Linked DNA regions of Macaca fascicularis. The protein of the gene in region 1 interacts with the protein of each later gene in a biochemical or structural test. Links are inferred from orthologs where the notes say so. Each region holds a gene or a part of one and is shown in the gene's direction. Other genes may lie near its edges. The genes, in order: RHOA, CIT, SMURF1 and PKN2.

Region 1 (7,665 bases):
ATTATTTTTCTTTTTTTGAGAAGGGGTTTCACTCTTTTTTTTTTTTTTTTTTTTTGAGACGGAGTCTTGCTGTGTCGCCCAGGCTGGAGTGCAGTGGCCGGATCTCAGCTCATTGCAAGCTCCGCCTCCCGGGTTTTTACGCCATTCTCCTGCCTCAGCCTCCCGAGCAGCTGGGACTACAGGCGCCCACCACCTCGCCCGGCTAGTTTTTTGTATTTTTTAGTAGAGACGGGGTTTCACCGTGTTAGCCAGGATGGTCTCGAACTCCTGACGTCGTGATCCGCCCGTCTCGGCCTTCCAAAGTGCTGGGATTACAGGCTTGAGCCACCGCGCCCGGCCGAGAAGGGGTTTCATTCTTGTTGCCCAGGCTGGGGTGCAATGGTAAGATCTCAGCTCACTGCAGCCTCCACCTCCTGGGTTCAAGTAATTCTCCTGCCTCAGCCTCCCAAGTAGCTGGGATTACAGGCGCACGTCACCACACCCAGCTAATTTTTGTATTTTTAGTAGAGATGGGGTTTCGCCATGTTGGCCAGGCTGGTCTCAAACTCCTGGCTTCAGGCGATCTACCCTCCTCTGTCTCCCAAAGTTCTAGGAACAGGCGTGAGCCACCATGCCCGGCCTATTATTTTTTTTGAGATAGAGTCTCACTCTGATGCCCAGGCTGGAGTGCAGTGGCGTGATCTGGGCTCACTGCAACCTCTGCCTCCTGGGTTCAAGTGACTCTCATGCCTCAGCCTCCCGAGTAGCTGGGATTACAGGTGTACACCACCATGCCAGCTACTTTTTTCTATTTTTAGTAAATATGGGGTTTGCTATGTTGACCAGGCTGGTCTCAAACTCCTGACCTCAAGTGATCCGCCCATCTCGGCCTCCCAAAGTGCTGGGATTACAGGCATGAGCCAGGGGGCCTGGCCTCTTCTCCAAGACAGAAATCTGGGCAGTGGCAGCCTTTCTAACCTCTAGCCCTAACTCTTGGACCCCTTTATCTACTTGCCATGAAGTAGGCATTTATAAAGGCAAATTAGATCAGATCACAGTCTTGCTGAGTTAGTCTTTCAATGGCTCCCAGGGTCCAACTCTCATGTTCAAGCTCCAGCATCACAGTCTTACCTATTCTAATATGTCACCCTTATCCTTCCCTCTTAGCCTTGCTCTATCCATTCCCTTTGCCAGGTACATTTTGTCACCCTGTGGCCTTTGATCTCGGCTTAGGTGTCTTTCTTGGGAGATGCCTTCCCTGACCACCCCTGCCCCATGCACCCCTAATAAATCCCTGGCTCCCCATGAGCAGGGCCCGGGTTTTCTTTGTTCTCTGGGCCTCGTGTGGTCCCTATCATGTGATAGGGGCCCAGAGATTATCTGAATGAATGCCCTGATTAGTGAGTGCATGTTTTGCAGAAGAGGAGGCTGACCCTGATGAGGTCAATGTGCTAAGGACAGAGATTACTGCCTTTCCAACTGAGGGGATTGTGCGGAGTGGAATCCAACAAACATGTCATTTCATCTCTCTGAAATTATGACAATACCACCACCTGTCCTACAGGCTGCTGAACAACATGCTGATGGACTGTCCAGACCTTGATGTCATCCTAACTCAAAGCCTGAACTCTACGTGCAGACTTGAAGCTTGCTGCAAAGGCTATTAAGCTGGTGGGCTTATAGCCTGAGAACTCCCTTCTCTGTCACCAGCACAGGAGTGTCCTTGGAATGCCAAGCATGGGGTTGCGGTATGGACAGATTTACTCACCACGAAGGGAAATGCGTGGAGCCATCAGGCGTGGATCCATTCTGACCACCCAGACCTGGAGGCAAAAACACATCCAGAGCTGCAGCAGGCTGGGGTGGGGATCTGAGCAGGCATCAGCCCAGGTCAGGTTAGAGACCACTGGTATTGTTTGGTGAAGTCTAGTAAGGGTCCTAAGGGACTAATCGTATTGCCAGGTGAGAGTTCTGAGGAACAGATACAATGTGATGGGTGGACTGGTGGAGATTCTGGCGTAAAATGGTATGGTGGCATGAGTCAGGGTACAACGTTAAGTTCTCTCATCCAAGTACCCGGCTTAGCTTCGTGGTCAGATGCGTTCAGGGTGGTAAGGCCGTGAACCAATGTTAAGTTCTGATGAGCCTCTTGCAGGATAGTTGGGGAACCCAGTGATACAGTCGGGAGAGGGTGGGGGCGGGGGCGGCCAGCCCACGGAAGTTCGTAGGAAGCCTCACCTGGACGGTGATACAACCCGGTCACTGTATTCCCGTAGAACCCCCAGGCCAGCTGGATGCCCAGGAGACTTAACACCAACCACAGCAGCAACAGCTTGAAAAGGGTCACGCGCATGTCCTGCGCCTCCCACTCCCTCAAGAATTCGCTGCCCAGCGCGCCCAGCGCATCCAGTACCGTGGCCGGTAGAGCCTGCAAGGCCTGCCCAGACCAGGGCTCCGCCATGACTGGCCCTCGCCCCACCCGGGGTACTGTCACCGTAGTCCCTACCACGCACGCGTGTGATCTTCCGGTGCCAGGCCCGTTAGTGCGCACGCGTAAATCTAGGCAGGGCGGGGCCTACTTCGCTTGAGTGAAGTGTTGGCAGTTTGGGGAGGAGTATTAAAACCGCGCACGCGCACCTAGCCCCACCCTGCTTGCTTAAGGGATGAGTGACTCCGGGAGTACAAAATAGCAACCAGGTCTTTTATAGCCCCGGAGTTCCCGTGATGCCCCACGCGGCTGCAATGATTGGTTAAGGGTTTTGCTTTTAGGGCGTGGCCGCGCTCCTGAGCAATAGTGGATGAGCTGTGAGTGCGCGCGCGTGCGCGGGGCCGCGACCTAGGTCGGCTCGAGCCCGCTGGGCACTCGGGGGCGCGCACGTCGTTCTTCGCCCTCCCGCCGCCGCCCGCCCTCGCTCTCTCGCGCTCCCCTCCCGCCGCCCGCGGTCCTCCGTCGGTTCTCTCGTTAGTCCGCGGTCTGGTCTTCAGCTACCCGTCTTCGTCTCCGAGCTTGCGACTCGCGGACCGGCGTCCCCGGCGCGAAGAGGCTGGACTCGGATTCGTTGCCTGAGGTGAGCGGAAGGGTTCCCTCCAGGCGCCGCGGGGCCCCAGGCCCTCCCGCCCGCCCGGCAGTCTTCCGGCCGGCAGGCCGCCGCCCCGCAGCGGCCGCGCCCCACCGGCTGCTCGTGGCCGAGCCGCCCCTGGCCGAGCCGCCCCTGACCTTTGACCTGACTCCCGGCTCAGGCCCCGCGCCCCAAATCGGCGACCCCGCCCGCGCAGTCCCCGGAAGCGCGCCCCGTAGTCTCCAGTGCCCCTTCCCCCGCCCGGCCGGGCCTGGTGGAGCCCAAGCTGCCCGCCTGCCTGCCCTCGGTCCTCGGCGCTTCCTCTCCCGGCAGCGCCGGGCAGGGCGGGGGCTTTGGGCCGGGCCCCCGACCGCGCAGTGTGGCCGGCTGCTGAAAGCGCGCGTGGCTGTCGGAGTTGAAATGGGAAAGAAACTCTTTACAACTCCATTTTGCTTTTTACGTTTACCGAGAAACGTGAATCACTGTTTTATATTGATTAAAGCCCAGTTACACTTTGGGTAGGTTTTCTTTTAATGCAGATTTGTTGGAGACTGTGTAAGTAAAAGATTGTATTGGAAGCTTAGAGGTATGATCTACGGCCATACCACCCCGAACGCGCCCTAACTCGTATGAAAGCTTTGGGGTCTGTATTGAGTGGAAAAGGGGTATTTTCCAGTTGAAAAAAAAAACAAAACCACAAAACTGTAAATGATTTAGCGATGTTGCATGAAAACAGATGCAATATTGGTTAGTCTAAGTCGCTGTATTGATTAGGAATCACCTAAGCATCTGTACCTTAGTTACTGATTGGATCTACAGTTACAGATCGTCTTCATTGAATAGCGCTATTTGCATCCAAGTTGATTTGTTCACAAACCTTGTTTAGTAGTTTACGGTGGAAAACTGGAATCTTTTTTACCTCAAAGTTGGTTCCACTTGTGTTTTTTAATAGTTTTGATTTTAAATTTTTACCTCTGTTGACTTGTTTGGTTCTTTTTGTCTTGAAGGAAGTCTTTTAAAATAAACGCTTCTTGCAGGTTTGTAAGTAGATTATATTTCACTCTGCCTTCCTGAAGGAGAAAAACAGAAAAACTGAAAAACTTCCATAATTTAAAATGTGTGTGATGAGAATTTTTCAACCACTTAGTATCACCCAGATGTGTAGTGTGTATGTACCATGTGGATGATTGTCACCTTGAGATGTGGCTAAATAGGCGGAGATACTGTTTTGAGCGTTTGGCACAAGTGACATTGGACTGAAAAAAGACTAGTTTTTAATTGTAAAGGATGACTTATTGAAGGATCTCTGGATAACTTGTCTTAATTGGTTCCATCTAATTTTGTGGAGCACTGATGGCTCTTGGGGACATTAAATATATAAGGTGCACCTTGGTTTGAGTTAAAGTCTAATGCTAGATTTATTTTCTCTGTTGTAAAAATCTGCGTTGCAGGGAAGAAGAGAGTAGGAATAATGTATAGTTCTTGAATTTTAGATCTAAGAGGAATCTTTCAGGTGTGGTTGTCTAACCCCATTTGCAGATGAGCAAACTGAGTCCCAGAGACTTAAGTAAATTTCCCAGGATTATCTATCTAGTCAGGAGCAGACCAGAACTGTCTGCTCTGTTAAGGTATTCTCCATTTACTCCCAAACATTTGACCTCTAGAGTCAGCTAAAATTCAGGACTTCCAGCTTATTCCATTGTTTCTTCTTTTAAACCTTGTTGATGGTGAATAGTTTGGGAGAATCTGAAAAATTCATTTGCCAAAAAAAATTCAGTTCATTAGCTTACATAGCACTCTCCCCTTGTTAACTGGATGGTCCTGCCTTCAATTGAGGGAGCTAGATGAATGTACAAGGGTCCCTGGCTGACCTAATCATGGCTTTAAGTGTTCGGATTTTTTTTTTTTTTTAAAGGGTCCAACTTCTAGAGCAAGGCCTACACTTTTACTGCTTCAAAACCAAGATATTTAGGTCAGGCTAACATATTTTTAGGTAACTGTGGGCACTTTTGACTATTAATTTGGGGTACTGCATGTGTCAAGTAAACAATTCCCTGTGCACATGTATGTGGTGGTGGTGGTGGAGTATTTTTGTAGTCTTGATTTCTTTCCATTTGTCAGTTAACTCCTTTTTAAAAGTTTATTCTGGTCATATGGGGGTGTAAGTTATTAGGAGAGTTAAAAAGAGGTAGCTCTTCAAGTGTTTCTTGTCCATGGGGTGGAGCCCTGCAGTGACGGGAGAAGGTGCTAGTTTGCGTCTTCTTAATTAGAGCGCTGAGAGATTTATGTTAACTCTGAAAGACTGATAGTTCAGCTTCTAAGAGAGCTAATTTGAGCCTGCTGTAGACAGCACCTTGGGTTTAATTGCATTATGGTTACTAGTGATTATGATGAATAGTACATAGTCACTGGATTTTAAAATTGGCCATATACTTTTATTTTTATTTTTGAAATGGAGTCTCACTCTGTTGCCTAGGCTGGAGTGCAGTGGCGCGATCTCAGCTCACTGCATCGTCTGCCTCCTGGGTTCAAGTGATTCTCCTGCCCTAGCCCCTGGAGTAGCTGGGACTACGGGCACCAGCCACCGTTCCTTGTTAATTTTTGTATTTTTAGTAGAGACGGGGTTTCACCATGTTGGCCAGGCTGGTCTTGAACTCCTGACCTCAGGTGATCACCCACCTCGGCCTCCCAAAGTGCTGGGATTACAGGCGTGAGCCCACACGCCCACCCATATTTGTAGTTTTAAAAGGATCCTAAGTATTTTGTCCGACTCTACCATTGGATCTACAGTTACAGATCGTCTTCATTGAATAGCGCTATTTGCATCCAAGTTGATTTGTTCACAAACCTTGTTTAGTAGTTTACGGTGGAAAACTGGAATCTTTTTTACCTCAAAGTTGGTTCCACTTGTGTTTTTTAATAGTTTTGATTTTAAATTTTTACCTCTGTTGACTTGTTTGGTTCTTTTTGTCTTGAAGGAAGTCATTCGTTTATTCCTTTATTTACCTGTCCAATGTAACTGTTTGCTTGTAACTACACATTAATATAACTAAATTTTGAACTTGTTAATGTTACATGTCTTGCTATACTTGGGGCTCTTTGGGGACATGTCATTGTTAAGTATTTGTGGGATTAAAATTTCCAAGACATTTTGAAGTTGGTAATTACTATAAAATCCTTCATCTTTAATCTGTGGAGCTATAGTATTAAGTGAAGGCCTCGGTATGTTCATAATTACGGTAGTCATGTGACTGAAAATCAGGCACTGAAGCTGCTCATTCTGGGTGTTGGTCTCAGTTTATTGGTACTTCCGCCAAATACATTTTTATAGCTAATAATACTGAAAAACATCAAATACACTTGCTGAATTGCAATCAGTATGCAGTTTATGCCAAACTGAGCTTGATTTCATTTTTTAAGAGGATGAGTAAATATATAAGTGTGTGTGTGTGTGTACATATATATATATATATATATATTTTTTTTTTTTTTTTTTTTTTTGAGACGGAGTCTCGCTGTGTCTCCCAGGCTGGAGTGCAGTGGCGTGATCTCGGCTCACTGCAAGCTCCGCCTCCAGGGTTCACGCCATTCTCCGGCCTCAGCCTCCCAAGTAGCTGAGACTACAGGCGCCCGCCACCACGCCCGGCTAGTTTTTTGTATTTTTAGTAGAGACGGGGTTTCACCATGTTAGCCAGGATAGTCTCGATCTCCTGACCTCGTGATCCACCTGCCTCGGCCTCCCAAAGTGCTGGGATTACAAGGCTTGAGCCACCGCGCCCGGCCTATTTTTTTTTTTTTTTTTCTCTTTCGAGATGGAGTCTCACTGTATTGCCCAGGCTGGAGTGCAGTAGCGTGATCTTGGCTCACTGCAACCCCTGCTTCCCAGTTGAAGTGATTCTCACGCCTCAGTCTCTGGAGTAGTTGGGATTATCGGCATGCACCTCTATACTTGGCTAATTTTTGTATTTTTAGTAGAGACGGGGTTTCACCATGTTGGCCAGGCTGGTCTCGACCTCTTTTTTTTTTTTTTCTGAGATGGAGTCTCCCTCTGTCACCCAGGCTGGAGTGCAGTGGCCGGATCTCAGCTCACTGCAAGCTCCGCCTCCCAAGTTCACGCCATTCTCCTGCCTCAGCCTCCTGAGTAGCTGGGACTACAGGCGTCCCCCACCACGCCTGGCTAATTTTTTGTATTTTTAGTAGAGACGGGGTTTCACCGTGTTGACCAGGATGGTCTTGATCTGACCTCGTGATCCTCCTGCCTCGGCCTCCCAAAGTGCTGGGATTACAGGCGTGAGCCACCGCGCCCGGCCTGGAACTCTTGACCTCAGGTGATCTGCCCCCCTCTGAAATTGTTGAGATTACAGGTGAGAGCCACTACTACGCTTGGCCACATTTAAGCATATTTATGATAGTATCTTAAATTTAAGTGAAGGGAAAGAGGAAAACATACACAGCCAATGAAGTAAGTTCGAAGTGGAGTGAAAGGAAAAGTTGGAGGTAAAAAGAGGTTAGAGAGGTGGGCAGGGGCCAGATCATATAGGGCCTTTAGGACATGGGAAATTCTTTGGATTTGTTCTGAGATTAGAAGTCATTTAGATATTCTTTAGAAAGGGGATGACATGATCTG
Region 2 (7,221 bases), on another chromosome or scaffold:
TTTCCCATTCAGGTGAGTACTTTACACTGAGTGTCATTTTGTCTTTTTTACTTCTACTCAACAGGATTTCCTAACATGTTCGAGGTCAGTGATTGTCAGACTTTTAGAGCCAGCAAAATTTCCCAAATTGCTGGGTAGACACAGGTTTTCTTATTTTGCCAAGTAAGGATATTTAAAAAAAAAATAATAAAAAGAAAAACCTATTATTTTCTTGCCCTTTTATTTCATAAAGGGCATTTTAAGAAACAACAAGACAGGAAGAACATCATCTCAGAATAAAGGACCATTTTTAAATTTGAATACATTTAGTTTTATGAAAAAAGATATCATGTGGCATTCATTTTTTCTCATTTCACTGCAGGCTGTTGAAAAATTTGTTAAGACCCAGTACTGCATTTGGGAACCCCTGCTTTAGTTGGTCTAAACTCTTGAAGAATACAAGAAACAAAGCGTTTTATTTTCCTGAGTTAGTGGCAACTATTACTAAAGTGACAGATATGGTGGCCTTGAATGCAGTGCTTCCCAAACCTGACTGAGGTCTGACTCTCTTGGGGACCAGGGTCTCATTCCGTTGCCCAGGCTGGAGTGTGGCAGCACAATCTTGGCTCACTACAGCCTTGACTTCTTGGGCTCCAGTGATCCTCCTACCTCAGTCTCACGAGTGGCTAGGACTACAGGATCATGCCACTACACCTGGCTAATTTTTTTTGTTTGTTTGCAGAGATGGGGTCTCACTGTATTGCCCCGGCTGGTCTTGAACTCCTGGGCTCAAGTGATCCTCCCACCTTGGCCTCCCAAAGTGCTAGGATTCCAGGTGGGAGCCACCTCGCCCTGCTGGGGAACTTGTTAATAAAACAGATCCCAGGCTACAGTCTGGAAAATTCTAATTCAATAGGTTGTGGGGGAGGGGAGGCATAGGACCAGATAATGTGTGTGTTTGTTTTTTTTCCTTAAATTCTCCAGTGCTCTTGTGATTCAAATGCAGCAATCCGTTTCTGTTATCAAGCTGTGTAACAAAGCACTTACGACCTTTAAAGCAACAATGATTTATTTTTCTTAGGATTCTGTGGATTGGCTGGACTCAGCTAGGTGGTTCTGCTTCATCCTGTGATGTCAGCTGGGGTTACTTGTGGGGCTACATTCAGCTGGGATTATGTCTGGGACTGGAACATGTGGGTGCTGACTGCTGGCTGGGGCACCTTAGTGTTTCTTACGTGGCCTCTCTTCTCCATGAGGTCTTTCAGTAGTGTAGCCCAGGACTTGTAACTTTTTTTTTTTTTTTAAGACAGAGTCTCGACCCGTTGCCCAGGCTGGAGTGCAGTGGCATGATCTCTGCTCACTGCAACCTCTGCCTCTTGGGTTCAAGCGATTCTCCTGCTCCAGCCTCCTGAGTAGCTGGGATTACAGGCGCTCACCTCCACGCCCGGCCAATTTTTGCATTTTTAGTAGAGATGGGGTTTCACCACATTGGTCATGTGGGTCTCCAACTTCTGACCTCGTGAGCCGCCTGCCTTGGCCTCCCAAAATGCTGGGATTACAGGCGTGAGCCACCGCTCCTGGCTGACTTGTAACTTTTTTTTTAAGTAATAAAGATTTTAGGCTTTGTGGGTCCTGTAGTCTCTGTTGCAACCACTCAACTTGGCCATGGTAGCACAAAAGCAGTTAAAAACAATATGTAAATGATGGATGTGGCTGTGTTACGGTAAAACTTATAAAAAGTCCGTGGGCTGGATTTGGTCCAAGGGCTATAGATTGTACACCCCTGGTCTAGCCCAAGCATCTTTGCATGGTGGCTGGCTTCCCAAAAGTGGAAACTGGTAAGCTGCTTTTTTTTTGAGAGGGAGTCTTTCTTTGTTGCCCAGGCTGGAGTGCAGTGGTGTGATCTTGGCTCACTGCAACCTCCGACTCCAGGGTTCAAGCAATTCTCATGCCTCAGCCTCCCAAGTGGTTGGGATTACAGGCACCCACCACCATGACCGGCTAATTTTTGTATTTTAGTAGAGACAGGGTTTCACCATGTTAGCCAGGGTAGTCTCAAACTCCTGACCTCAAGTGATCCACCTGCCTTGGCCTCCCAAAGTGCTGGGATGACAGACATGAGCCACCATGCCTGGCCGCTTGACAAGCTTCTTAAAGGCACTGCCCTGAACTGGCACAGTATCTCTTGTGTCACATTCTTTTGGTTGAAGAGAGTCTCAGAGATGGCACAGATTCAAAGATAGGAGAAATAGACTCCAGCGCTTAAAGGAAGGAATAGCATGTGTCTACTGAATTGGAGGAACTGTTGGAGGCCATCTTTGCAGCGAGACCACACTATTCATGGCTTGGCACGTGGGACTCACTGCTCTACACCAGGGTCGCAGACTCATGTCTTTGGGGGCCGGGCAGTGAGTATAAATGAGTTAGGTGGGCCAGTTGGAAGATGGAGTCAGACCTGCAGTGAACTCCGGAACACATCTGCTACCGGGAGGGGCAGCATTACTCAGCTCCAGCTCAGCGTCATCAGGCAGGAAGGCGAGGCAGGAAGACGAGGCAGTGTTGCCGGATCTGCCAGTGTTTCAAGAGAAGCCAGAGACTCCATTTTTATTTTTTTGTATGGAATCTCCTGATTTTGAAATATTGGCAGATAATTCAAATTATCTTAAACACTACAGGCCAAACAAAACATATCTGTGGGCTAGAGACAGTCTGCCAGTTTGTAACTATTTCTCCAGATCATGAGTAAATTTGGCTTTATGATAGTCACTCAGTTCTCATTACTCTAGGTTGTTCAAATGAATTAAAAAAGCTGAAATTATATGAATAAACCCCTGGGCACACGTGAAAGAAGTGAAAAACCCATGTTTCCTATTGTAGAAACATGGAAGCATGTCAGAGCCAGAGGATCCAGAGGAAGTATTCTCACTAGCCTCAGACCCTCAGGAGTGAGGGACCTTTTCTTGTTAATGGCCATGCTTGTGCAGTTTTCCCTCCCAGGTGCTGGTGAAAGAAACCCACAGTCCTGGAATCATGGAAGTGATACCATAATGACTGTCGGTTGACGCTGCTTTAAAGAATGAAGCCACAGAATTGTGCTGTTAGCATGTCGTGAGCAGTTAGTTGAGTTGGTGGCTTGTAATTTACTCTGTGTGGATGTTATTGATCAAAGCTTTTCATTATTGACAGTGTCTCCATCTGCTGTTTGCTGTTTTTAGGGGAAACCACCCTTTATGACTCAACAGCAGATGTCTCCTCTTTCCCGAGAAGGGATATTAGATGCCCTCTTTGTTCTCTTTGAAGAATGCAGTCAGCCTGCTCTGATGAAGATTAAGCATGTGAGCAACTTTGTCCGGAAGTGTAAGTTTGGGGAACTTTTTCTTGAAAACCGTCCTGAGAGAGAAAAGTAGAAAGATGCTTGAGGCAGAATGAGTTACTGGTTGATAGTAGTGGGTAAGAACTCTGGTTCTATATAAGACAGATCCAGGTTCAAGTTCAGGCTGCACCTCTTATAGCTGGGAGACCAGGTAAGTTGGGCTACTTGGTTGCAAGTGACAAACTCAATTCAAAGACTGAATTTAGGACAGGTGCAGTGGCTCATACCTATAATCTCAGCCCTTTGGGAAGCTGAGGTGGGCTAATCGCTTGAGCCCGGGAGTTCAAGACCAGCTTGGGCGACATGGTGAAACCCTGTCTCTACAAAAAATACAAAAATTAACTGGGTATGGTGGCTTGCACCTGTGATCCCAGCTGCTCAGGAGGCTGAGGTGGGAGGATCACTGGAGCCCGAGAGGTCAAGGCTCAATGAACCATGATTGTGCCATTGCACTCTAGTCTGGGTGACAGAGTGAGACCCTGTGTGAATAAAAGAGTGAATTTATTGGCTTATGAAACAGAAATCCAGGAATGAGTTAAGTTTTAACTTTAGGCATAGCTGGTTCCAGAAACCTCAATAATACCCTGTGACCTCATGCTTATACTCACTCAGGACTGACTTTCTATTAGGCAATGTAGGCATGGTGCTTAGGACCTGTGATATTTAATTTTAATGAATTTAATTAGTTTTAATTAACTGAATTAAATTTTAATTTGTTTTAAAATTACAGGAAAAATGAATGTAATAATGTATAATGATTCTGGATTACATTCATCTTTATACCAATGTAGTCATAGAATAAAATTTTTGTTTTTTTTGGAGACAAGGTCTTGCTCTATTACCCAGACTGGAGTGCAGTGGTATATCACAGCTTATTGCAGTTTCAACCTTCTAGGCTCAAGCAATCCTTCTACCTCGGTGGCTGGGACTACAGGCTCACACTACCATGCCCAGCTAATTTTTGCTTTTTTCTGTAGAGATAGGGTCTTACTATGTTACCCAGGCTGGTCTCAAACTCCAGGCTTTAAGCAGTCTTCCTGCCTCAGCCTCCCAAAGCTTTGGGATTACAGGCGTTGAGCCACCATGACTGGCCCCATGAAACATAATTTTCGAATTCTTTTTTGTTTTTAATGGAGGAAGGGGCTGAGGAAGGCAAAAGTACCTAGGGCCTATGAAGTCATATATCGGCCTTGCCTTCACCCTGTTTCTGACTTTGCTTGACTTCCATGTGATGGGGCAGTTGACTGGTGGTGTCCCAGTTTCATACTCTCACATTAGTGTTTTTCAACCAGTGGGTGACTTTGCCCCCTAGATGTTTTCGGTTGTCAGAGCTGGCTGGGGATGGTGGTGTGTGAGGTTGAGGGGAGGGTCCTACTGTCAGTTAATGGGTGAGGCCAGAGATGCTGCCAAACACCTTACAGTGCACAAAGCAGCCCCTGTAACACAGAAGTATGTAGCCCACAATGCCAGTAGTGCTGAATTTGAGAAACCCCACCTTGTACAACACTGCTGTGCAATCAACCACCCTAAATATTAGTGACTTAAAACAATAGTCATTGTGGCTGGGCACGGTGGCTCATGCCTGTAGTCCCAGCACTTTGGGAGACTGAGGCGATGGATCACGTGAGGTCAGGAGTTTAAGACCAGCCTAGCCAACATGGTGAAACCTTATCTCTACTAAAAATACAAGAATTAACTGAGCGTGGTGGTGGGCGCCTGTAATCCCAGCTACTTGGGAGGCTGAGGCAGGAGAATCATTTGAATCTGGGAGGTGGAGGTTGCAGTGAGCCAAGATCTCACCATCGCACTCCAGCCTGGGCAATGAGTGAGACTCTGTCTTAAAAAAATAAGTTATTGTATTACCTCTCGTGTGTGTAGGTTGATTGGACTCAGCTGGGAATTCCTCTGCTCTGTATTACATTGGCCAGGATTGCCGTCACCTGGGACTCTCCTGGGCTGGAATGTGTGAGAGGGCTTACTCACTGTTTGGTGCCCTGGCTGGGAGACTGGGCCCAGCTGGGCCTGTCTCTCTTCATGAAGTCTCAGGGCCTTTTGCTGTCTACATGGCACCTCTATGTGGTCTCTACATCAGAAGTCAAGGAACTACAGCCTGTGATGCCTATTTTGTAAACAAAGTTTTACTGGAACAGCCACACCCATGTGTTTGTACAGTGCCTATGGCTGCTTTCACATTATAACAGCATTTTATTTCATTTTATTTATTGTTTTGGAGACAAAGTCTCACTCTGGCTGGAGTGCAGCAGCACAGTCATAGCTCACTGCAGCCTCCAACTCCTGGGCTCAGGCAATCCTCCTGTCTCAGCCTCCTCAGTAGCTAGAACTACAGGCCCATGCCACCGTTAACGGCTAATTTTTAAATTTTATGCAGCGATGGGATCTTGCGAGATTGCCTAGGCTGGTCTTGAACTCCTGGCCTCAAGAAATCCTCCCACCTTGGCCTCCCAAAATGCTTGGATTACAGGCATGAGCCACTGTGCCCAGCCCACAACAGCATTTGAGTAGTTGTGATAGAGATCAAATGGCCTACAAAGCCCAAAATAATTCCTGTTTGGCTCATTTCGAAAAGGCTTGCTGACCTCTGAGCTACATGGTCTTTCTAGTAGGACAGCCTCGATGGTAGCTCAGGGTTTCCAAAACACAAAAGTGGAAGCTGCCAGGCTTTCTTAGGGGTTATCCTAGGAGGAACATAGGATCTCTTTGGCTGCATTCTATTGTTTGATGCATGCTCTGGGGCTGCTCAAATTCCACCTGAGAGGAAACTACACAAGGGCATGAATCCCAAGAGGACTGGGGTATTGGGTGCTATTTTTGGAGACTGGCTACCACACCCTGCCCAATGGTTATCTTCCCTTATCTAGGTTAATACAATCCCAGGGAAGATTCTAACTTGGCTCTGCTTTGGGTCATTTGCCTCCCTGGAGGTGAAGTATTGTGATCGGTTTTGTTGGAGTGCCCAAAGGGGTCAGGGCAGTGTGATTACCAGCACCTCATGGGATGGGGGATGCGTGGTTATGCAAAGGAGCCGGGGATGCTGAGTAGAAAAGAATCAGCATATGTTCACTATAGTGCCCTTCGGTATTTTACATGTACTTTGTTCTCAGTTTTCTCATCTGCAAAACAAGAATAATGTATATCCTTTTTTTGGAGTCTTGCTCTGTTGCCCAGGCTGGAGTACAGTGGCACAATCTCAGCTCACTGCAATCTCCACATCCCGGGTTCAAGTGGTTCTCCTGCCTCAGCCTCCTGAGTAGCTGGGACTACAGGGGTGCACCACCACACTCAGCTAGTTTTTTTATTTTTAGTAGAGATGGGGTTTTGCCATGTTGGCCAGGCTGGTCTCAAACTCCTGACTTCAAGTGATCCACCTGCTTTAGCCTCCGAAAGTGCTAGAATTACGGGCATGAACCACCGCACCCGGTGGGAATAATGTATATCTAGTGAGGCTGTGTTGGGATTGAGTGAGTTAATGCACAGACCAGACTTGTCATGTTGCCTGTCCCATAGGAGACAATAAATGGTACCCAGTAATCATAACTCTGAACCTCAACAACATTTAATATATTGTATATCTTCAAAATGTACTTGAGATATTTGTTCATCATTCTGTTTTTGTTTGAATAAGCTCCCGCCTTCTTTTTTGAATATTTAAATTTATAAGTAGGGAGTGGGAGGGGAAGGAAATTATGTGACGAGGCTAGCTTACTGAGCCATCTGCAGGCACCTTCATTAGTCTTGAGGCTGTCCTCTGGTTACTTAACAGCAGTGAATTATCTAGAACCATATAGTGATCAGAAGACTTGGTTTAGTGGAATGTAGATGTTTTTCTAATAGAACTCTCTTCCAGGGAA
Region 3 (7,221 bases), on another chromosome or scaffold:
GTGGGAGGGTGGCAGGGCCAGGCAGAGTGGCCAGGGCCCTGCAGGAGGTCTCTGAAGCCCCCCACCTGGCGCAGCCTGTCCTGACTCCCCAGGAGGTTGGGGCTTGGAGGGTGTGGCCTGCGAGGGGGAGGAGCCACCTTCCTGTCCCAGGTCCCCAGGAAGCAGGAGGCTGCACTCTGAGACTGTCTGCCCAACAGGAAGATGGTGTCTCTGCTGGTCCTCATTGCTCCTGGATTCCTGTCCTGCCGCTGACCTTGGCCCAGCTTGAAAGGAATATCTGTGAATACACAGGAGCAAGGGGCAGCACAGCCAAGGCCCGTGACCTCTGTGCCCTCCTTTCCCGGCGCCCGGCAGCCCTGTCAGCTAGCCGTCTTTGCCGCAGCAGTGGTGGCTGCTGGCCAGCCTGGTGCTCACTTGGGGCTGAGGCTGGAAAGACCTGAGGAAGAAGGGGCTGGTGCCTCACCCTGCCCCACAGAACTGGTGGGCAAGTCGTCTGTTCCAGAGGGTGGGTGCAAACAGCACTGACCCTCAGGGAGCCTGTCTGGAGCAGGCTCATGGTCAGGGTGCACTTTAGGAGGGGCCTTAGCAGTTCTTGCTCTGCCCCCTGCAAGATATTCTAAAATGTTGGAATTTTGGCCAAGTGTAGTGGCTCACACCTGTAATCCCAGCACATTGGGAGGCCGAGGCGGGTGGATCACTTGAGGCGATCCAGGAGTTCCAGACCCGCCTGGGAAACACGGCAAAACCCCGTCTCTACTAAAAATATAACAATTAGCCAGGTGTGGTGGTGTGTACCTGTAATCCCAGCTACTTGGGAGGCTGAGGTAGAAGAATTGCTTGAACCCGGCAGTCAGATGTTGCAGTGAACTGAGACTGCCCCACAGCACTCCAGCCTGAGCAACAGAAACCCTGTCTCAAAAAAATGTCTGAATGTTGTCACTTTGATGGCCATTGCAGGCATGTCCTAAAACCGGGCCTGGGAACCTCATGGCCCTATCACAGGACAGCCTGCCTGGGTGTAGGGGTGGGAACGTGGTCAGGGCCCTGGTTCCTGGGGGCCGTGTGGCCAGGAAGTGCCACAGCTGTGCCTCTGAAGTACATTAACTAGAATGTTGTCTTGTAAGGTTCTACAGGCGCGGCAGGGCCCCGGCTGTTCACTATCCACCTGATAGACGCGAACACAGACAACCTTCCGAAGGCCCATACCTGGTAAGCACTGCGGCCAGGAAGTCACGGCGTCCTGGGAGCCCCGGAGGATGCCGACGTTCACGTTCGTTTTGTTGTTTTTTCTTTTTTTTGGAGATGGAGTCTCTGCTAAAATATTTCTGTCATCATCAAAACTCAAAAGCCACAGCACCTGAGACACAAGGAGAAATTCGAGAGTTGAATGACAATTCTGAAGCCCTCAAGCAAGCGACTCTTCCTCCAACATGACAACGCTGTATAGAGTGGCTTTACTGGCCATGCAACAAAATATCTATAAGAGGGCCAACATTATTGCTAAACTTAACATAAAATCTTACAGTATATATAACCTAAAATTTAAATATAGATTTTTCTCTTGATTTAGTTTTTTATTTTTTTGAGACAGTCTTGCTTTGTCACCCAGGCTGGAGTGCAGTGGCACAATCTTGATTCACTGCAACCTCTGCCTCCTGGGTTCAAGCTATTCTCGTGCCTTGGCCTCCCGAGTAGCTGGGATTACAGGCATTCGCCAACACGCCCGGCTAATTTTTGTATTTTTAGTAGAGACGGGGTTTCGCCATGTTGGCCAGGCTAGTCTGGAACTCCTGGCCTCAGGTGATCTGCCCGCCTCGGCCTCCCAAAGTGCTGAGATTACAGGCATGAGCCGCCAAGCCCGGCCTCATGTTATTTTTTTAAAGCTGTTTTCTGATTTGTAGGACTCTGTTTCATTTATGCCAAGTCTCAATGACTGGCAGTAGTGCTTGTGTCAGATGGGACGAGTACTTTGCAGCATGCCACAGAAAGGTTGTCACAGTATCTTATGAAACTAATTTTGTTATGAGCCATGTCATTAATTAACATTGGTGTTTCAGTGGAGTGTGGCTACCACTCCAGCAGGCTCAAATCTTCCTCTCTGCCAGGTCTTATGTACACACACCTGTTGGTAAGGAAAATAGTCTAGTTTTGGTCTTCACTTTATCTGACATTTCTGGGTCCCCATCTTCTTAGACTCCTGCTTATGACACACGCACCTTGTCTATTGCAAATATTTTCTTCCTAAATTTTAACTTAAAAATGAGTCTCCATACTAGAGTATTTCCTGTATGGTTTAAAAATCCAGTCACTGGCACGCACTTTGTCCTGGAACCATCCGTTGAGACGAGTAGCCGCGTTTCCTTGGGGGAACCAGTTCTAGATGCTGTTGAGATGCCCAGTGAGATGATGGAAGGTTCCTGTCTTGGAAACCAAGGATGCGGGATCAAATGCTAGCTGTGACACCCTCTGACATGTGGTTTGGGGCAAGTGACTTCATATTCTAACTTGGTTTTCCGCACTTGTGAAATGGGGTAATGCAGTTGGTCCTGGACCGTGGTGGTGGGTGCCAGGGTCCTGCTCCGAGCGTGGCTGTGGCATCCGTTACGGGAACGCACCATGTTGGCTGCGCACCTACTCACAAGGCTTTTGTCCTTTAGCAGTTCAGTGCTTGGTGTTAGATGCATGTGGAAAGTATGCTCTGAAGCACAGAAAAAAGAGGGCCCACCCTGGAACCCAGCTCTGTAGAGACAGACACCTTCCGTAACTGCTTACCCTAGGAAGCCAGGAAGTCACTGTATGTCCTCTGGGTCACAATTTTGTACTTTTTGGTTTGCTATGGTAGCTTCTTAAAGGATGTCTTTTTCTTTGCACAAATACTGGAAACGAGTTTCCCCCTGGAAATACCGAGTCAAAAGTTGAGTATTCATTTCATCTTTTAAGGATTTGTCATCTTACTAGTTTTGAGATTTTGTTTTTGCAAGGAATTTTCCAGACTGCCCCGTTTTGGTCTCAGATCAAGTCCCAGAGGAACAGACAGACACGCAATACATCGTTAGTGGTGACGTTGCCTGACAGCCAGTCTGGGTTACACGGGCTGCCAAAGAGGCATTCCTAGCACAGAGAAAGAATTTCTCCCACAGACAGACAGACAAAAACAAGCGGAGAGCTTTGTCCTGATAGAAGCCGTGAACAGTAATTTGGTGATGTTTTGGTTGTCAAGGCTCAAGACTTACTTCACTGTGTGTTGATTGGGCACAGTGGCTTAGGCCTGTAGTCCCAGCATGTTGGGAGGCCAAGGCAAGAGGTTCACCTGAGGCCAGGAGTTTGAGAGCAGCCTGGGGAAACTAGCAAGACCCTGTCTCTACCAAAAAGCAAAAACAAATTACAAATCTTTGTATTAGAGGCAGAAAAGCACAGGGGGACATGGAGAACTCACCACCACTCCTGCCCCGCCCCGCATTCCTCTCCCCTCCCACACACACTTCTCGCTGCCTGTCCTTGGCCTTGAGGTTGGTCCCAGGGCTGGACTGCCCACCCAGTGACTCTCACTTTTTTGTCCTTTTTCAGCTTTAACCGGATCGACATTCCACCATATGAGTCCTATGAGAAGCTCTACGAGAAGCTGCTGACAGCCGTGGAGGAGACCTGCGGGTTTGCTGTGGAGTGAAAAGCAACCAAAGGCAACAGAGTCTAGCTCATGGCCACCAGACCAAAAGCATCCAGCTTCTGTGCGCCTCCTGCAAAGCTGGCAGAGGCCCTGGAATTCCGGATCACCTGAGGGGAAAGGGTTGTCTCTCTCCTTTCTGTTGGGGGAGGGGGATGGGGGACTTTTGTTGGTGGCTCCCACCCATATATCTCTCCTTTATTATAGTACTCCCACCCGCTTCCATCACCCATCCAATAAAATGCAGCCAGGGTTAGCCTTTGGCTTTGGTCACACAGGATATTCTGCTGTGGTTGCAACCCATGTGGTGATAAGGCTCATGGCCCTGAGCTCTTTACGGGAGCATCAGCCCACAGTTAGGGGACTGAGTGTGGCTGGCTGAGGGTTTGGAACTGCTGGCTATCCCCGCTGTTCCATCTCAAATAGCCTTGGGGCCCCTTTTCAATTTGAGCAGCTGCTAGATATCTTACCAGAGCTCAGATTCCAGATTTCACATCCCAGCAGCCTGTTCTGGGCAGCAGATGAATTTCCAACTGAAAAATAACTGCATAACGTATGCTTATTGGAATTCTGCCACAGCAGGAAGCTTGAGTCAAAATGCGTTGCCCCTTTGAAAGGAGAAGGAATTGGAGCAGCTTTTCCTGGAGCCAGGATATTTCTTTGCTGGGTGTCTTGGCTGAGAATATTTTACGTAGAGAAAAACCATCTTTTAAGGGCCCCTTTTGCTGCATTATCTGTCCAGTTTGACTTTTCTTTTCAGTGAAAACACCATGTCACGGAGTGTAGAAAAGAGCAGACCAAAATCAGCCCTAGAGCCAACCAGTCAGTCCCAAAGCTGTGACCTCTGTGCCACTGTTGTCCATAGAAGAGCATCAACTGTGTCACTTAAAATATTAGTAAACCATGATGCGGCAACTGCTAAGAGCTAAACTAACAAAATTGTGTTATCATAGCTGCTGGCTTGGTGCGAACTAGCTTAAAAGCAATGGTGAAAGGATAACCTCGATGATGTAAATCCACCCAAAGATACTGTTCTACAAAAAGTAGAGTGTGGACGCAAACCTGTGACCGCAGAGGGGGACAGCTCCACACTGCCTCGTGTGGCCCCTTTCCCAGTGGCAGCTGGTGACACTAACGATTGCTACTCGGTTCACTTGCCCAGATGTCTTCGTATGATCAGCAAGGCCAGAAGCAAGCCTAGACTCGAAGTTTCTGACACCATTTTCCAGTTTGCACAGAAGTCAAACAGTGTTTTATCTTAAAGTGGCTTGATTTCCAGTAGCTGAACTTGGGCAGAAAACAGCAGCAGCAACCAATGTTCCTGTATGGTTTCTTTGTTGTTTTTGTTTGGGGTGGGGGCAAGTACAGGGTAATCGATGAGCAAGACATTTCACTGCTGTCGAAGTCTCTGGGATCCCGCTGTGGGTCTGAGATGGCCTGGGAAGGACCTTGTGGACAACGGTTTTATCTGTTCTTTTTGTCACTGTTGACTTCTGGGCTGCTGAGGTTCTAGAATGGAAGGGCTGCCAAACGAGGTTTGCTGCAGGAGGAAAGTTTAATCCCCCATTCCAGAAGTCCAGGCCCAATGGTGGGCTTAGCCTCTTTGAAAAGCTCTGCCTTGCCCCCCCAGGTGGGTGCATCCTGTGTCTCATTCACCATGATGCTTCCTGAAGGTGTTCTAGAAGCCCGTTTCCCAGTGGCTCTATCCAGCCTTTCCTTGCATCTTCCTCTTGAAGGTGAGGAAGTGAAAACTACAGCCCTCCCCCGGAGAGCCCACTCTCTGTCACGAGCCTAACCCATGGGAGGCAGAAGAGACATCCATCCGAGAACTGAAGCGGCCTCCGGGATGAGGTCGGAGGCCCCACCTGATTGTCCTGGTGGTGGTATCCAAAATCTGCAGTAACTAGGAAGGAAACCAGGGTCTCATGGTTTAAAAGACTTTGAAGCAGGAATGTTGCATTTGACGCCTTTAAAACTACCTTTTTGCTGTTGGGAGGAGTCGGGGGCGAGCCTTAGCAGCTGCACCCGCCAGCCCCATGCTGGTCGGTGCTGCCCTGCCTCTCGTGCCGGGTGTTGCTTCAGCCCAGAGCCAGAGGGCTGGGTCCCGGGTCCTCCACAGGTGGCCCCGGCGGACACATGGCATTCCTGTCCCGGCCCCCGTCTCTGCTTTTCCACTTCCACCTGCGTGTGGGTTTGCCGCCTTGTCATCGGTCGTGTGAGTGTCGCAGACCTTTCCAGAGCTCCGGTTCACTCTTTCCAAACAGGCCTCCCTATCGGTGGCATCGCACTCCCAGAACCTTCAGTTTCTACGATGGTTTGTTTGGTCCTTTTGAACCACCCCAAAGAACTCAATATGGCAAGCAAATGGTAAAAGCTTCCCGACTGTTGGACTTTGGGTCCGCACGAAGCCCATTCACGTGTGATCTGTGTCGCCCCTCTCGGTGGTCCCAGGCGATCCAGCCATGCCCCCTGCCCCTCTGCCCAGATGCTTCAGGGGCCCGGCTTTTCAGGCTTGCCCTCACCAGCGGCCGTCAGCCGACACTCAGGGATGTAGCAAACACCACTCTGCCAGTGCTTTTGGTAGGAAGAGCTGAGGCTGCCTGGGAGGCCCGGGGCGACAGGAAAAGGGCTCTCTCCAGTTCTGAAAAGAGAATCTGCCACCAGATCGAATTTCGACCCCTGAGCTTGTTCAGACATATGGTCCGAATTCAGATTAAGGTGGTCACCCAGTCCGAGATGTCAGGAAAGGCCTTCTGCAGAGAAAATGTCCCCCTACCCGCCATCTGCAGCCAGGTGTGTGCCGCACGGCAGCCTTCCCGAAACATAGTATGGATTTTAAAAATGTGTTTATTTTTGTTTCTCAACCACTTTATAATGTATTTTTTAATTTATTTTGTAATGTCTTGTTTTTAAGTATTGCTGCTATCCTTGTTATCCTTCCCACGGTTTTTATCGCTGATTTATTTTGTGAAAGTTGTACACTAATGTTCTGTTTTATGTCAAAATCAAAAGTATTTAATGAAATACTAGTTCTATTTAATGTGGTTATGGAACCAGCTGGAAACACAAAACAAACAGTGATTGTACAGCAGGCTGGGCCCAGGAGGTCAGGTTCATTTTGTTACATATGCAATAAACTCACGACTTTACATTTTTGGCGTCTGTTATTTTGGTGTGGAAATGAGATTCCAGTGTCTTTGCAAACCCACAAGAAAGGAAGTGTGTAGGCAGGAATACTGGCAAGGGCCTTCCAAGGGAAAAGGACAGAGTTAAGGATAGAATTGTAAGGGAAACTAATGACAATATGGCAGTGGGTTGAAAGTGCTCTACCAAGCAAAAACATGGGACTGAGAACATTTAGAATTTCTTTGCGCACTGGTTATCTTTTCGTTTTTCCCTTCATTTTTCTTTATTTTTATTTTTTTGAGATGGAGGCTTGCTCTTGTCACCCAGGCTAGAGTACAGTGGTGCAATCTCGGCTCACTGCAACCTCTGCCTCCCGGGTTCAAGTGATTCTCCTGCCTCAGCCTCCCGAGTAGCTGGGATTACAGGCGCGC
Region 4 (7,825 bases), on another chromosome or scaffold:
ATCCATGTCCTATTACATTTTTTCCCCCTCAACAGAGAATGTTACCTGGGTAGTAAATTTCAGCTTAAATGAAACTAATTTGCTGTCTAAATCATCACATATTTCAGATTATCAAGTAGTTTTAATATTGTTGGCCTCCATTTTGTACTACTTTCCCTAGCACGGCTAATCTCAGAAATAATTCCATAACTTTTAAAACTTTGTATATTTGTTGCTTAAATTTATAGGTGAAATGTAAAATTATTATTCCTTATCAACAGTGGTGTGTACCTATAGTCCCAGCTATTTGGGAGGATGAGTCAGGAGGATCCCTTGTGCCCAGGAATTTGAGGTTGTGGTGAGCTATGATCATGCCACTGCAGTCAAGCCTGGGCAAAAGAGCAAGACTGTCTCAAAAAAAATTTTTTTAATTATTAACATTGTTTTAACATTAGAAGTTTGTAAAATTTAAAGTCTTTTTCTATGGTAAAAATTTAAGAGAGTCTAATGCTTTCAGTTTAATATCAATTTAAAGTTATTATAGTGGCATGGTGAAGGTTAAAATAAGCATGAATGGCAATTAGGAGACTTAGGTAATAGTCCCCACCTCTGCCACTAAGTAATACTGTTGTCTTGTTCCTAAATAGCTAAGGAAACTATTTGTTATTTTTTTCCTACCTATAATAGGAGTTAAGCTAAGTATTTCAAGTCACTTCTAGTTCTAAAATTACATGATGCTGAAATGTGAACATTTATATCTAAATTAATTTTTACAAAGACCGCTCATTGACTGTATTTCTAAGCCCTTGCACAGTTAACTTAGTTCCACCATTATTAATCACCTTCTATGTGTATGACAGCCATCTCAAATCCATTCTGCAGTAAGCTGTGACAAAAATAAATCTGTAGGCCGGGCACGGTGGCTCATGCCTGTAATCCCAGCACTTTGGGAGGCCGAAGCGGGCAGATCACGAGGTCAAGAGATCGATACCATCCTGACCAACATGGTGAAACCCCGTCTCTACTAAAAATACAAAAATTAGCCAGGCGTGGTGGCACGTGCCTGTGGTCCCAGCTACTCAGGAGGCTGGGGCAGGAGAATCACTTGAACCTGGGAGGCGGAGGTTGCAGTGAGCTGAGATGGCACCACTGCACTCCAGCCTCGTGGCATAGCGAGACTCCGTCTCAAAAATAAATAAATAAATCTGTGTGCATTCAATGCCCCTGAATTGTACACTTAAAATGGTTACAATAAATTTGATTATGCATTTTACCACAATAAAACATGCACACACACACACACACACACACACACACACACACACAAGCATGCAGTACTCCCCTAACACTTTGTATCTATTACTTAAAATTATTGTTGTTTAGATGTAAGTTGGCTTCCCCAAAGAATTCTCCAGTCACTCCAAGGATAAGGACCTCTTTTTTTTTTTTTTTGAGGCAGAGTCTCACTCCAACCTCTGCCTCCTAGATTCAAGCAATTCTCCTGCCTCAGCCTCCGGAGTAGCTGGGATTACAAGGCGCACGCCACCATGCCCAGCTAGTTTTTGTATTTTTAGTTGAGACAGAGTTTCACCATGTTGGCCAGGCTGGTCTCGAACTCCCGACCTCAGATTATCCGCCTGCCTTGGCCTCCCAAAGTCCTGGGATTATAGGCGTGAACCACCGCACCTGGCCGGATAAGAACTCTTAATCCTTGCTGTAACTCCAAAGCCTAGGACACCATCTGGCTTCTAGTTACCAGGAAAGGTAATCACATCCTGGCCTTTCCAAGTGTTCTTTCACGTAAATTTAATTATCACTTTCAACCAAGGCAATATATTAGATATATAAATAGTTGTAAGACTTGTGAAGTACACACCAGAAAAATTCTTTATCACACACATATGAGTTAGAATTCAGAAACTGTGGCCACAGAACTCCAGATCTTCAATAGATGTTTGCTGAATTGATATATGAGACTTGAGAAGGCAAAAGGATAAACGTAAGTCCTAGCATCAGCCCAACAGATTTACACGGAGCGTGTGACAAGTACGTAATATTACGCTTCCTAAGAATTATGTCAACGAATGTCCTTCCTAAGTAGCAACCTACCTAAATAACCCTTACCACTTTCTCCAGGTAGTTTTTAACAAAGGAATTGCACCGCAGCTTCAAAAAATTGAAAGTTACGTGTTTACCTATCCATTCACTGCTCAGACAAAACAAAAACAAAAGCTACCTGTGGGAGACTTCTAAATTCCTTAATACTACAGTGTCATTAAAAACAAACACCTAGATTTACTCTACTTAGCTATATGTTACTAAGTAGTCAGGTTAGCTTTAATGCTTACCACGACAAGGAGAGTTGGCTTTTTTCCTTTCCCGAGGGTAATCCCGTCCCACCTCCTCCCTCTTTAAATAAAGTTAAAACAATCCAAAAAACCAGCTAATTCTCAGCTCTAGAGTTCTCCAGCACAAGAAACAGTAGTTCAGCTTCAAGAAAAAGGCATCTTAAAGGCTGTGCATTAAAAGTTGCCAGGGATCCAGCCGCTTACATTTCATGAAAAGTACAGACCAGACCCGTTTAGCAAGCTGCGCACCTTAACTGGTCCAGAAGGCGCGCTGTGGGCTGGGGAAGAGGGTGAGCAAAAGGCAAGATTATTAGTTTGGGTTGATGGGGATGGCCGGGCAAGGGAAGAACAGAGGAGTAATCTGTAAGATCTGAGTTCCGAAGCTTTTTGGGTTGTGGAGGTTACAAAAGTGCCTGTTAAAGTTAGGCCCAAGCTTCGGCAAGGTAGAACTGGGGGGAAAAAAAGAAAAAGAAAAAAAATAAAAAACCTAAAAAAACAACAGCGAGCAGGCTCCCGAGTTCTAGTGTTCACAGTGAGGCCGTTAACGCAGCAGGAAAGTAGGCGTGTGTTTTCTTCCTCTTCCCGCCTCCCCAGAGACTCCAGCCCAGTCCTTTCCCCTCATTTTCACCCCAGCCGAGTCCAATGGCTGCCCTCGCGCGGAGTCGGGTCGGAAGCCGCCCCGCCCTCTCGCCTTGCTAGCCCTGGGGAACCCCTCTGCCCCACCTTCCCAGCCCGATGAGAGGCAGTGACTGCCGCCGTCACGTGTGCTGGCAGCCGCCAAGTGAGGCCGCTTTTGCGACGCGGTGACAGCCAAATGGTGCGACAGGAGGAGCTACAGCCGCGGCCGCAGCGCCCCGCACGGAGAGACTTGAGGCGGCTCCTGGCGTCGCCCAGAGGGAGCGACTAGGCGAACAGTCCGGTGCGGGCGGCGGCGGCGGCGGGCGGGCGGCGAGAGGAAGCCCGCTACGAGTGCCCTCGCACCCCCGCCGCTCTCGATGAACCGGACGGAATAAGCCGCGCCTCCAGCAGGGGCTGCGCCTCCATGAATCCCTAGTTTTTGTGTTTTTTTTTTTTCTTCTCTCCCCGTTCCTCACCCCCCACCCTGAGCCCCGTCCCGCCTTCTCCCTTTGCCAGCGGCGGCCGCCTCCAGGTGCGGAGTCCATACCGGAGCGCAATGGCGTCCAACCCCGAACGGGGGGAGATTATGCTCACGGAACTGCAGGTAAGGGCCGCGGCCCTGGCGAGAGTCGCTGGCTGAGTAGACAGGGAAAGAGCCCCGCGCGGCGTCGGGGACCAAGGAAAGCCCTGCGGCCGCCGCGCCCCTAGCCCGCTAAGTGCGGAAAGTCCGGGATGTCACTCGGGAACTGCTTCCCTCGGGGAACCGCTTCCCTCGGGAGCCAGACCCTCTCCCCCGCCAAAGCCCTGGCCTGCCACCGCTTTGCTTTGATTCTGCCTACCAGAGGGAACCCCATCTCTGCAGCCCTGCTGCAGCTGGAGCCTGCTCTCGCCCGGTCCCTGGAGAGGCCGGCCCGTCGCCCCCTCCCGCGGTGTCAGAGCTGCCCGCGAACGCCCCTGTCGCCCCCTCCCTTCGCGCGGCTGGGCCCCGCCCCGCCTTTCCTCCGTACTCGGCTCCTTAAACTCTTTTGAATGACTCCCAAGCTGTTTTCTTGTCCCTCCCCCTCCCCTCAGACTCCGCACAAAGAGCGCCCCCATAACTTCCAGCCCCTAGACAAGTTTTTTTTAAAAAAACGAGTCTCACCAAATGCTTGCTTCACTTCGCCAGCCCTCTTCAGGTGGCAGAATTTCTTTCCTCTATTTTGAGAGTTATCTTTTTCTTTTCCTTTTTTTTTTTTTTTTTTTTAAACTAAGTGATAGATACACGGTGCCTTTCTCGGCTACCCCTGCCCAGATCCGGAAGCTCAGATGCTGATGCTTTTCAGACTTTCATTTTCCCTCTCATTTGAGCACCAGAGAAAGAGCTATATAAGTTGTTTACTAATGAGAAAGGGAAAACTTGGGCACCACATGTCTGCAAAAGATAAGAGCAAAATAGATCGCTTAGTTAAGTCCATGTCGAGTAGCAGTATTATTATTTTCCCATTTCCAGCTAAATATTTGATGATGTAGGCACGATTTTCGTTTTTAGATCTCTATGGTGTACATGGGGACTTAAGCTACCCTGTCGGGTTTTTCATTACTTGGCAGTGTTCCAGAAGTGTTTACATCTGAATTTTAACAAAGATGTTAAAATTTCATGTTTTTTTGACTTAAAAGTTATTTTGCTTTATTTTAATATAGTTATCTTTTAGCTACTCGAAGATTGTAGATGGGAATTAGGGAAAAAAATAGCATGCTTGCATGTCTTTTTGTGTGTTGGACAGTTAATTTTTTTAAAGAAAGACTAAATCTAGAAATTCTGAAACAGTTGATTCTTGATGTCAAAATTAAGTATTGCAACTGCATCTAAATTTCTTGTTTAAATACACTTTTTAAGAAATCTCTTTATAAGTTTGGTTTCTTGTGCAGTCAGACGTAAGGTTGAAAACGTTGGTATAATAGTTGATATTCCTCCACAAAAATAGAGATTGTAACAATGTATACCAATGCAGTGTTGCACATTTAGAATCCTTTGGTAATGCAAAGCTGAATTTCATATCATTGAAAATGTTGCTATGTAATATTTTAATTACAGTTAGCCTTTTATAAGCAGATCGTACAGCATACCACATTTGCTAAATGAATGTAATTTACTATTTTATTAATAGTAAATAATTTGCATCAGCTTTTAAAATGGAGATGATGTGAGGCAAGTGAGAAATACTTTACATTACCTGGTCTTGAACCATGAAAAACATACTTTGGTTTTGATTGAGAAGGATGATAGGGTCAGTTTTCTTTTGAATTGAGCAGTGTTCGAGTTATAATATATTTGGCATTGTTACTTGTATTTTATAGAAAATTGGCATAAAAGACACCTACTTTGGCACTGGAACTGAAAATTATATTTTCATGTGTATTAAAATACAACATTTAGGATCTTTTAATTAAAAAGATCAATTTTGGTAATAACAAGGAAGCAAGCAAAGAAGGAAGAAATTTTCAATATGATGACTTAGAAATATGACCAAAATAGAGGAACACCTAAAGTTAAGCTTCTAGATAAACTGAAATATAACCCCTTCCAGAAAAAAGAATAGTTTTTATTAAGTGTTACCTTATAGGTTGTCATATATCCAAGTCATTTTCTTGGTTTATTTGACTCCCAGTTTTGATAAAAGTTATTGCATTTAAACTTTATCGTGTTTATTAAAATTTTTGAGAATATTACTTACATCAACACTAAAGATAGTCATAAAGTTTGCTTCACCAAATATTTCCATCCGTTCAAACATTTTATTTCATTGGGTCCTGAAACTTAGTGTACAGTAACCAAGTATTTATTAAACTTTCGTTTCAAGAATCAGTTTTTTTAAAAGCTTCTAAATTGTTTGAACTTAGACTGAAATACTGTTTAATATGACATTCTTAATTCTTTTCTGCCATACAGATTTTAAGTATTTAAGAAATTCTGTAGCCAGTTTTAAGATGTATTTAATGGTTAAAACTGTTACTTTGCTATGTATCCTGTCTCAGGAATACTTGTTTTACTCTGAAAGTTACATATTACAACCTACCTTTAATGAAATTGATATTTATTTAGAAATATATCCAGCTTTTCATTATTTTTTCAAATTGTAGAATTTGAAATACTCCACTGCTTGAGCTGGAATTAGCTTTTGGTCGTGGAAAGGCAAAGTAAGAAAATCTGAAACGACAGTATTCTGTCCTGTTAATTACTGTAATAGCATGGAGTAATGTTTTTAAGTATTGGTAGTAATTCAGGAGGCTTATTCAACAAGGAAGCGTTAATAAACTATGTAAACTTTGGTGGCTAGAGGTTTCAAGGTATAAGGAAGAATATTTACCGTAATAAAAATAAAAATTGGCTGTTTAAAATGGCCAATTTCTAATTTTTATCTCATAACTAATTTGTTGTGTTGTATTCTCTTTATTTTTTATTTGAAGTATAGCAGAAAACTTAGACATTTTTGCAATGCCAAAGAAGCTAAAGTTTATTTTCAAGGAACCTGGATTAATGAAAACTGTAAAGAATCTCAAAATGAAAGTGTTGGCTACAATGGTAATTTTGTAGAATGCAGACCAAATATTGAGCAGTGTGCTAATAAAGCTATCTTGTTGATTATTGGAGATTCATTTTCTTCATCAAAATGCCCAATAAAGTGTTGGTCTGGGAATTTTAAATTCCATTCTCAGCAGATTTTATTTAGATAGAGGTAACTTGCTCAAGTGGAAAGTTGAGATAGTTACCCTTAAATTACGGGGGTTAATTTCACCAAACAGTTATGTAGTATCTACCAAAGCTATGTTGGAGGATATAAAGATGACAAGATAGGTTTTTGCTTTCCAGAAGAGAGTATAGATAATTGTACTAGAGGATAATTATAAGAGAGTACAAACAACATTTTAAAAATTATTTGCTACATATCAGACATTGTACTTAGTATCCTATACACCTCATTTGATCTTTACAGCGATCCAATAAGGTAGGTGTTATTTTCATGTTGTGGATCAGGAAACTTAAGTTCAAGAATATTAAGTAAATTGCTTATGGTTACATTGTGTGTCTGAGTTTGAACCCAGGTCTATATGTTTCCCATTACACTATTTCTTTTTTTTTTTTTTTGAGATGGAGTCTCGCACTGTCACCCAGGCTAGAGTGCAGTGGTGCGATCTCTGCTCACTGCAATCTCCGCCTCCTAGGTTCAAGCGATTCTCCTGCCTCAGCCTCCCGAGTAGCTGGGATTACAGGCACCTGCCACCACGCCTGGCTAATTTTTTGTATTTTTAGTAGAGACGGGGTTTCACTGTGTTGGCCAGGCTGGTCTTGAACTCCTGACCTCATGATCTGCCTGCCTCGGCCTCCCAGAGCGCTGGGATTACAGGTGTGAGCCCCTGTGCCCGGCCCTGCTGTACCATTCTTTAAATTGCCACAGTTCTGGGGAACTATAAATATTTTGCATCTAATGTTATAGTGGTGTGAACTTTCTACAGATTGGCCAAAAATGTAATTTACCAACATTAACTTAACTTGTTAGCTCCATCTGTAACAAGGAAAAATGATTTCTACATTCAACTTGGTAGTCTATAATGTAGCAGTGTTTTATTATTGTAAATACGCTCTAATATTTCACAAAGAATCATAGTACAAATAATCTTTTTACAGGATTTCTTCATTAAGAATTACTGTTTCTCATGAAAGGTGTCACATGCTTGCCCAAAACTTCCCAAAAGATTTGACATTACTCTGTAGACTGTCTGTGCTTTGCTTTAAAATTTTATACTCATATGTAACCTAGCTCTGTGTTTGACACTTAGTAGGAGCACAATACATTGATGAGAAGGCTCCATTTGTCACCTAGGATGAGGGATGTCTAGAT

Evidence for each region.
Region 2: the proteins of RHOA (region 1) and CIT form a complex in vitro, tested with the Homo sapiens proteins (2 studies listed by BioGRID, with this or other methods). The link is inferred for Macaca fascicularis from reciprocal best matches to the Homo sapiens genes RHOA and CIT.
Region 3: the proteins of RHOA (region 1) and SMURF1 form a complex in vitro, tested with the Homo sapiens proteins (2 studies listed by BioGRID and IntAct, with this or other methods). The link is inferred for Macaca fascicularis from reciprocal best matches to the Homo sapiens genes RHOA and SMURF1.
Region 4: the proteins of RHOA (region 1) and PKN2 form a complex in vitro, tested with the Homo sapiens proteins (2 studies listed by BioGRID, with this or other methods). The link is inferred for Macaca fascicularis from reciprocal best matches to the Homo sapiens genes RHOA and PKN2.

What each region holds. Positions count from the first base shown.
Region 1 is NC_088376.1:112,409,374-112,417,038, reverse strand, and holds the start of RHOA (transforming protein RhoA), read left to right. Parts: upstream 1-2,850; 5' UTR 2,851-3,047; intron 3,048-3,384; exon of another isoform or gene 3,385-3,556; intron 3,557-7,665. Other genes in the region: TCTA (T-cell leukemia translocation-altered gene protein), read right to left, coding at 1,748-1,802, 2,218-2,440. UniProt on the Homo sapiens protein: Small GTPase which cycles between an active GTP-bound and an inactive GDP-bound state.
Region 2 is NC_088385.1:126,864,695-126,871,915, reverse strand, and holds part of CIT (citron Rho-interacting kinase), read left to right. Parts: intron 1-3,194; coding exon 3,195-3,336; intron 3,337-7,221. UniProt on the Homo sapiens protein: Plays a role in cytokinesis. Required for KIF14 localization to the central spindle and midbody. Putative RHO/RAC effector that binds to the GTP-bound forms of RHO and RAC1. It probably binds p21 with a tighter specificity in vivo.
Region 3 is NC_088377.1:47,600,968-47,608,188, reverse strand, and holds the end of SMURF1 (E3 ubiquitin-protein ligase SMURF1), read left to right. Parts: intron 1-1,124; coding exon 1,125-1,209; intron 1,210-3,567; coding exon 3,568-3,667; 3' UTR 3,668-6,815; downstream 6,816-7,221. UniProt on the Homo sapiens protein: E3 ubiquitin-protein ligase that acts as a negative regulator of BMP signaling pathway. Mediates ubiquitination and degradation of SMAD1 and SMAD5, 2 receptor-regulated SMADs specific for the BMP pathway.
Region 4 is NC_088375.1:146,010,293-146,018,117, reverse strand, and holds the start of PKN2 (serine/threonine-protein kinase N2), read left to right. Parts: upstream 1-3,167; 5' UTR 3,168-3,501; coding exon 3,502-3,549; intron 3,550-7,825. UniProt on the Homo sapiens protein: PKC-related serine/threonine-protein kinase and Rho/Rac effector protein that participates in specific signal transduction responses in the cell.